Linked DNA regions of Macaca fascicularis. The protein of the gene in region 2 interacts with the protein of the main gene of each other region in a pairwise test. Links are inferred from orthologs where the notes say so. Each region holds a gene or a part of one and is shown on either strand. Other genes may lie near its edges.

The links. The genes of interacting proteins can lie anywhere in the genome.
Region 1: the proteins of LRP1 (region 2) and MAPK8IP1 interact in a two-hybrid assay, tested with the Homo sapiens proteins (2 studies listed by BioGRID). The link is inferred for Macaca fascicularis from reciprocal best matches to the Homo sapiens genes LRP1 and MAPK8IP1.

Annotation. Positions count from the first base shown.
Region 1 is NC_088388.1:19,960,978-19,964,477, forward strand, and holds part of MAPK8IP1 (C-Jun-amino-terminal kinase-interacting protein 1), read right to left. Parts: intron 2,506-3,500; coding exon 2,188-2,505; intron 663-2,187; coding exon 581-662; intron 296-580; coding exon 1-295. UniProt on the Homo sapiens protein: The JNK-interacting protein (JIP) group of scaffold proteins selectively mediates JNK signaling by aggregating specific components of the MAPK cascade to form a functional JNK signaling module. Required for JNK activation in response to excitotoxic stress.
Region 2 is NC_088385.1:63,995,805-63,999,304, forward strand, and holds part of LRP1 (prolow-density lipoprotein receptor-related protein 1), read left to right. Parts: intron 1-105; coding exon 106-225; intron 226-438; coding exon 439-552; intron 553-892; coding exon 893-1,042; intron 1,043-1,115; coding exon 1,116-1,238; intron 1,239-1,478; coding exon 1,479-1,595; intron 1,596-1,773; coding exon 1,774-1,902; intron 1,903-2,159; coding exon 2,160-2,282; intron 2,283-2,364; coding exon 2,365-2,505; intron 2,506-2,588; coding exon 2,589-2,779; intron 2,780-3,493; coding exon 3,494-3,500. UniProt on the Homo sapiens protein: Endocytic receptor involved in endocytosis and in phagocytosis of apoptotic cells. Required for early embryonic development. Involved in cellular lipid homeostasis.

The sequences.
Region 1 (3,500 bases), on a different chromosome or scaffold from region 2:
AGGAAGGCGGAGGTGGGCTCTGCAGGGTCTGGGGGCCTCTGCACTGGGGTCAGGTAGATCTCCTCAGTGGCCTCTAGTCGCACATCGGCCTGGTAGTGGATTCGGTCTCGATGCGAGTGGCCCCGACCCCCAGGCGGGGCAGCAGGGGGACCCCCCGGAGGTGCCATCTGGGTGGCTGTGCTGCGGCGGCAAGGGCTGTCGGTGGAGGTGCCCCGGTCTGTGGTGGGGGCGGGGCTGCTCTGGGGGGGCAGCTCATCGCTCAGGCAGATGTGTTCATGTGGCGGCGTCTGCTCCCCTGGAGAGCAGGCAGGTCATGAAGGCAGGGGTTCTCTCCCAACTCCCAGCTGCCTGCACCCGCCACTCTCAGCTTGGTGACACAGAAACCAAGACAAAGCCTCTCTGGGGCCAGTCAACTCCCTCACGCTACCACTGATCTCACCCCCTGGATGGGCTTGTGCAGGGATGTGGGTGGACAGTTTACCTCTACTCAGCCCTTTGGAGACTGCAGGGTTTGCTCTCTGCAGTGGGGACTGAGTCAGGGCAGGCGGAGGTCCAGGTAAGGAAAAGGGCCCTGACTTACCTGTCTTCAGGGGTGAGGATGATCGAGACACCCGATCCTGCCAACTGTGCTTTTTGCCCAGAGAATTATTATTCAGTGTGTCCTGTGCGGGGAACAAAAGGCTCTTGTGATGGAAGTGGTCAACAGTGCCCGGCACAGGGAGGCCCCGGCCCTGCCCCCTCAGGCCATCCCTAGGGCCGTTTGCTGTGTTCACCCCGCCTCCACTGTCAAAGGCCTCACTCCCAACTCTCCTCTGGAGCAGGCAGGAAGGGTGGCAAGTCACAGCCAGGCTTGCTGGCTCCGGATGGCCTTCCGCCTTGCTCAGGGAAGCTGGTCAACCCTCAGGGAGATGCTCTTATCACCCTTAACAAAGGTGGTGATGGTCAATGTGTGTGGTGGCAAGAGGGGTAGGAGGTGGGGGAGAAGAGAAGCAGGAGCTCTCTGGAGACACAGTCAGATACCCAGTCCCAGACACTGAGGGTTACTTGGAAAATGCTCAAATCCAGCCCAAGTCAGAGACAGGTGATTCTCTGCTCTGGAGCTTGGGAAGTTATGGCCTAGAAGGGGTGGGAACCTTCTGGTAGAGCCTGGAAAAAGCACAAGGAAGGGTCTCCCCAGCAGCTGGCCTGGGGGACAGGGATGAATCATCCCAGTGACAAATCCATAACAGAGTTTTCCTGCACCCCGCACCACAGTGGCACGTGACTGAGGACTGACAGATGCAGTTGTCAGCAGCCCTCCTTCCTGGGTATCCCGGGCTGCCCATTCTACATTCTCAGCCCCGGGACCCCTCCCCACAATGCCCACACAGGGCTCCCTCCACTCCACGGAGGCTCCCTCCCCTGGGAGCTCTCTCCCAAGCCCTCACGTTCCTGAGCCAGGCTGCCAAAAGCCATTCACAGGATCCTGGGAAAGGGACCAAGCCTTTCCCTGCAGCCCCAGCAGCCCCACCTCCCAGGAGCTCCTTCCCTGCACTTCTCCTGATGAGCCTGGAAGACAAAGGGCCACAGCCGGCTCCCCCAACCCTATTCAACTCTCCTTGGCATCCAGCCACCCTCCCAGGGGCCCTAGGCCCCCAACTTAGCCAAGTAGCTCCATCCCCCATTCCTCTCCCCTGCCTTCCGGGAATCCCCAGCTGCCCAGATCTCAAACGGCCTGTGGCCCCTGAGCTCCCCATCCCCACCTCGCCACAATCTCCCATGGCCTCCCCGACGATGACCACTTCGGATGCCCTTTTCTCCAGGCCCCGCTTCTACCCCGCTTTCATCAGGAACCCCATACCCTAAAGGAGAAACCCTGCCACAGCCTGCGGTCCCACGCTCCAAACCCTTCGAACCCCTCAGAGCGTCATTCTCTTAATTCCCTACTCCTCTACAAACCCCAGTCCTTTCCTCCTTCAATCCCGCCTCAAGGCTCCAAGCCCGGCCAGCTGGACTTAGCCCTCTTCCTAAGGATGGTTCTGCCCGCTGCTCGGATCCCACCCCCGGGAGCAAGCCACTGCGGCCTCTATGCAGGCGCTGTCCCCAGACACTGGACCCGTGGGTGTCCCCTTCCGCTGCAGCCCCTCTGCGCTCCCCCTCACATCTCCGCGGCGGCCCAGGGCGCCGCCCCCCGCGTTGGCACCTCACCTGAGACCGCGGCACCTGCGGGAAGAGGTTGAGCGTGGTGGGCCGCTTGGGCCGGTACGTGTCCCCGCTGCCCGGGCCCTGGCCCTGGCCTTGGCTCTGGCCCTGGCCGCGGGACGCCGGCTCCTGGCCGGACTCGGCCTTGGGCGGCCCCGCTCCCGACGTCGTCCTCCTCGCGCGCTCCTCGTCGTCGTCCTCCTCGTCGTCCTCGGCCCCGGGAGTGTCCCCCGCCGCGTCGATCAGGTCCATCTGCAGCATCTCCGCCTGCAACCGGCTCCCCGCGCCGCCGCCGCCCGCAGAGAGCAGCCCGGCGCACGGGGGCTGCGTGGCGCACGGAGGGGCGTCAGGGGGCGGGGCCGGGGCGGGGCCGAGGCCGCTTGCACCGCCCCCCTCCCGGGCGAGTCCATTCTGCTGCGCGAAGGGGGCACGAGGCGAGCGGAGCAGGGGCCGCTGGAGACTGGGGCGCTCTCGCCCGCCGGCCGCTAGGAAGCGCGAGGCCGCCGCCTCCCGGCTCCAGCCGTGCCTCTGACTGCCTGCACCTCCCCACAGTCCCCACCCCGGACTCCTTGCGCCCTCCCGTTCCCCTGGCAACGGCCGGTGACCTCACTGGGGTTGTAAGCCGAGCCCAGAGTGAAGTCACCGCTGTTGCTATGGGGACTCAGTGGTCGCCAAGGAGTTCGGGGGGGGGGGGGGGGCGGCAAGGGATGGGGGCGGGGGAAATAGTATTTGAAGGCGACTTGAGGAAAACGGGAAAAACTGAGGCTCAGCCAGGCAAGGAACGGCGGAGACCTGAAAGGGATGGGAAGGGGACGCCGAGGGGGAGGGGCGAGCGGGGCCCCCGAACCAAGGCGGTGGAAGCCCCGTCCTAAGCCAGCCGGCCCAGGCCCCTCCAGCCCGAGATCGGCCCTCCACGAGTCTGCCTTGAAGATGCAGAGCCCCATCCTAGCTCCAGTTCTGCCGCCAACTCCCTGGCACCTTGGACAGATCCCCTGACCCTTCAGGCCCCTCATCAGTTGAGTGGGGACAACACTACTGCCTCCCAACCTCCAAGAGAGCTGAGTACTCACTGGAACGTGTGTGAAGCCCGCTGGAGCTTGTCTGAGGCCCCTCAGGGGCACACCTCTGGCCAGTAGTGCCTGGGGGCCCTGCCTAGCTGGGGGGCAACCCTCTCCAAGGCTCTGCTAGTGCAGCTGGGGGAGAGGGCAGGGTGAGAGTCCAGAACAGGTGCCTGACCTTTGAGAAGCTAAGTCAGGGCCCTGAGACCATTCCCCAAATCTAGAGGCCTCTGCCTCTTCCTGGCCTGGCCGGAGAGTGGA
Region 2 (3,500 bases):
CCTTTGGGTTGGGGGGCGGCCAGCTGGACACATGCATGATGTCTCAGGGAGGCAGCCCTTTCCCTGTGCCTGTGGCTGATGCGCATCCTACTCCTCCATCTGCAGACTCCCGCCGCTGCAAGAAGACTTTCCGCCAGTGCAGCAATGGGCGCTGTGTGTCCAACATGCTGTGGTGCAACGGGGCCGACGACTGTGGGGATGGTTCTGATGAGATCCCCTGCAACAGTAAGTGAGGCGCACTGGCATAACCCATCTGTACCTCAGTTCCTGCCCCACCCTTCCCTGGCCGAGCTTTGTCCCTGGGCCCCATGGTGTCTGGTTTAAGGCACTCTGTGACAGGCCAGGGCAGGTGCTGTGGGCCAGGAGCTCTGTCCTGCGTCCTCCTGGCCCACACAGAGAAAACTCTGGCCTGACGGTACGGGGCGGGCACTGTTCTAGAGACAGCCTGTGGTGTGGGCGAGTTCCGCTGCCGGGACGGGACCTGCATCGGGAACTCCAGCCGCTGCAACCAGTTTGTGGATTGTGAGGATGCCTCAGATGAGATGAACTGCAGTGAGTGACACCCTTTGCTGGCACCTCCTGGGCTCCTCCCCATCGCTCACTGCATCTCCCACCTTCAGGCCCTCCTGCACCTGCCCATATTCCTCTCTGCCTTGCCCTGTCCCCACTGACAGCCTCCATCTCCCTGAGGCCCTGTCCCCATCCCGCTCCTGCTCCTGGGCTCTCATGGGGTTCCGAGAGGGGGTAGTGAGCGGATGGTGCAGACAGTGCCCCACTGGAAGGGCACTGTTCAACTTTTGGAAAAGCATGAAGGCACCGTAGGGCTGGCAACTGCCCCAGTGGGGGGTGATCGGGGGGAACCAGGAATCACCCTCACCCCTGCCCCCACCAGGTGCCACTGACTGCAGCAGCTACTTCCGCCTGGGCGTGAAGGGCGTGCTCTTCCAGCCCTGTGAGCGGACCTCGCTCTGCTACGCACCCAGCTGGGTGTGTGACGGCGCCAACGACTGCGGGGACTACAGTGATGAGCGCGACTGCCCAGGTGGGCAGGGGCAGGTGTGTGGTGGGCGGTGGCCTGCGGTGAGCACGGCCTTCACACCTGCCTCGCCCCCCAGGTGTGAAACGCCCCAGATGCCCCCTGAATTACTTCGCCTGCCCTAGTGGGCGCTGCATCCCCATGAGCTGGACGTGTGACAAGGAGGATGACTGTGAACACGGCGAGGACGAGACCCACTGCAGTGAGTGACCACAGCACCCACTCAGTGCTCCAAGAACCTGCTGGGCCCCACTTCTTAGTCCCCCCTTGGAAAAGGGCACCCAGGGCCTTCACCCCCTGCCCCACTCTGCCTCTAGCTGCTGCTGAGCCCCCCCACAGACGGTTGCTGTGGGCATTTCTCCTGTCCTTCCCATGGCATCAGCCTCTCCAGGTGGGTGACCCCCGCCCTTCCACATCTAACTGTGGCTTCCGACTGCCCCAGACAAGTTCTGCTCAGAGGCCCAGTTTGAGTGCCAGAACCATCGCTGCATCTCCAAGCAGTGGCTGTGTGACGGCAGCGATGACTGTGGGGACGGCTCGGACGAGGCTGCTCACTGTGGTGAGGAAGCTGGGATTGGGCTGGGGGAGGTGCCCCAGGGAGAGACAGACTCCACCCAATTCCACCCCACACACAGACACCCCTGCAGACAATGGCGAAGCAGCGAGTGCGTCACCTCTGCTGCTGGCCCTCATCCACCCCCTCCTGAGTCTCTCGATGGCCCCCTCTCCCCCCACAGAAGGCAAGACGTGCGGCCCCTCCTCCTTCTCCTGCCCTGGCACCCACGTGTGCGTCCCCGAGCGCTGGCTCTGTGACGGTGACAAAGACTGTGCTGATGGTGCAGACGAGAGCATCGCAGCTGGTTGCTGTGAGTGGCGGGGCCGTGTGGACCGGGTGGACAGCAAATGACCCCAGTCTCACTTTGCAGATGGGGAAGCTGGGGTGCAGGAGAGGAAATGCCTCAGCGGGGTCTGCTGGGGTGGAGCCATAGCTGTAGTCCAGGTGTCCAGACTCCTCATCAAGTGCCCCGCCCACTCTACCAGGAGAACCACAGGAGGTCAGGGTGGGGGACGGTCAGCTGCTGGCCGAGCAGGGCTGAAGAGCTGTGTCCACCTCTGTCCACAGTGTACAACAGCACCTGCGACGACCGTGAGTTCATGTGCCAGAACCGCCAGTGCATCCCCAAGCACTTCGTGTGCGACCATGACCGTGACTGTGCAGATGGCTCCGATGAGTCCCCCGAGTGTGGTGAGCCCTCGGCGGTGGCGGGAGGAGGCCCTGCCCTCCGCTGGGCCAGGGCGTCAGCCTCACAGGTCCCTTCCTCCCCCAGAGTACCCGACCTGCGGCCCCAGTGAGTTCCGCTGTGCCAATGGGCGCTGTCTGAGCTCCCGCCAGTGGGAGTGTGATGGCGAGAATGACTGCCACGACCAGAGTGACGAGGCTCCCAAGAACCCACACTGCACCAGCCCAGGTGGGCCCCAGACCTGGCTTCCCTCTGCCCCCTCCCCAGACTGCCTGAGACCCTGCTGACCTGCTGTCTCCGCCCCTCTGCAGAGCACAAGTGCAATGCCTCGTCTCAGTTCCTGTGCAGCAGCGGGCGCTGTGTGGCTGAGGTACTGCTCTGCAATGGCCAGGATGACTGTGGTGACGGCTCGGATGAGCGTGGCTGCCACATCAACGAGTGTCTCAGCCACAAGCTCAGTGGCTGCAGCCAGGACTGTGAGGACCTCAAGATTGGCTTCAAGGTATGCCCAGCCCTGGGGAGGAGCTTCCACACCCCAGACGTGCCAGGAACGCCTTTTTCCACTGCCTCATTCATTCATTCATCCCCTAGACACTGGGGATACAGCAGTGAATGAGATGGAAATCTGCTTGGTTGGGGTCTGCCTCTATCTGGCAGGTAGAGAGCCAGCAGATTTGCTGACAGATGATATACGGAGTGTGAGAGGAAAAGAGGAGTGAGGCGTCAAGTAGGCAAGAGATACACAGATCTGGAGTTCAAGGAGAGGCCCAGGTTGGAGAGGGAAGTCTGGGAGTTATCACCATAGAGATGCTATTTGGATCTATGAATCTGGATATGATTCCCAAGGGAGCAGTGTAGGTGGAGAAGAGAGCAGTCCAAAGTCTGAGCCCCAAGCTGAGCAACAGCCAGGAGCAGGGAGGTGAGGGGACCAGCAGAAGAGCCTGAGAAGGAGCAGCTGCTGAGGCAGGAGAACAGCCATGAGAAGAAAGCGTTTCCAGGGGGAGGGCACACGCAGCTCTGTCAAATGGCACTCGGGGGCGCACAGAAGGAGGCCTGGACTGCGAAGGCCAGACAGCCAGCTGGGTGGACTTAGTACCGATGTGCTGCTGCCCCTAATGAGGCCGGGTAGAAGGAATTGGAGTCTCTGAGCCAGGTCTCCAGGGTGGGAGGCCCAGACCCTGCCACACGCCCAGCCCAAGGCTCCCTGTGCCTGCAGTGCCGCT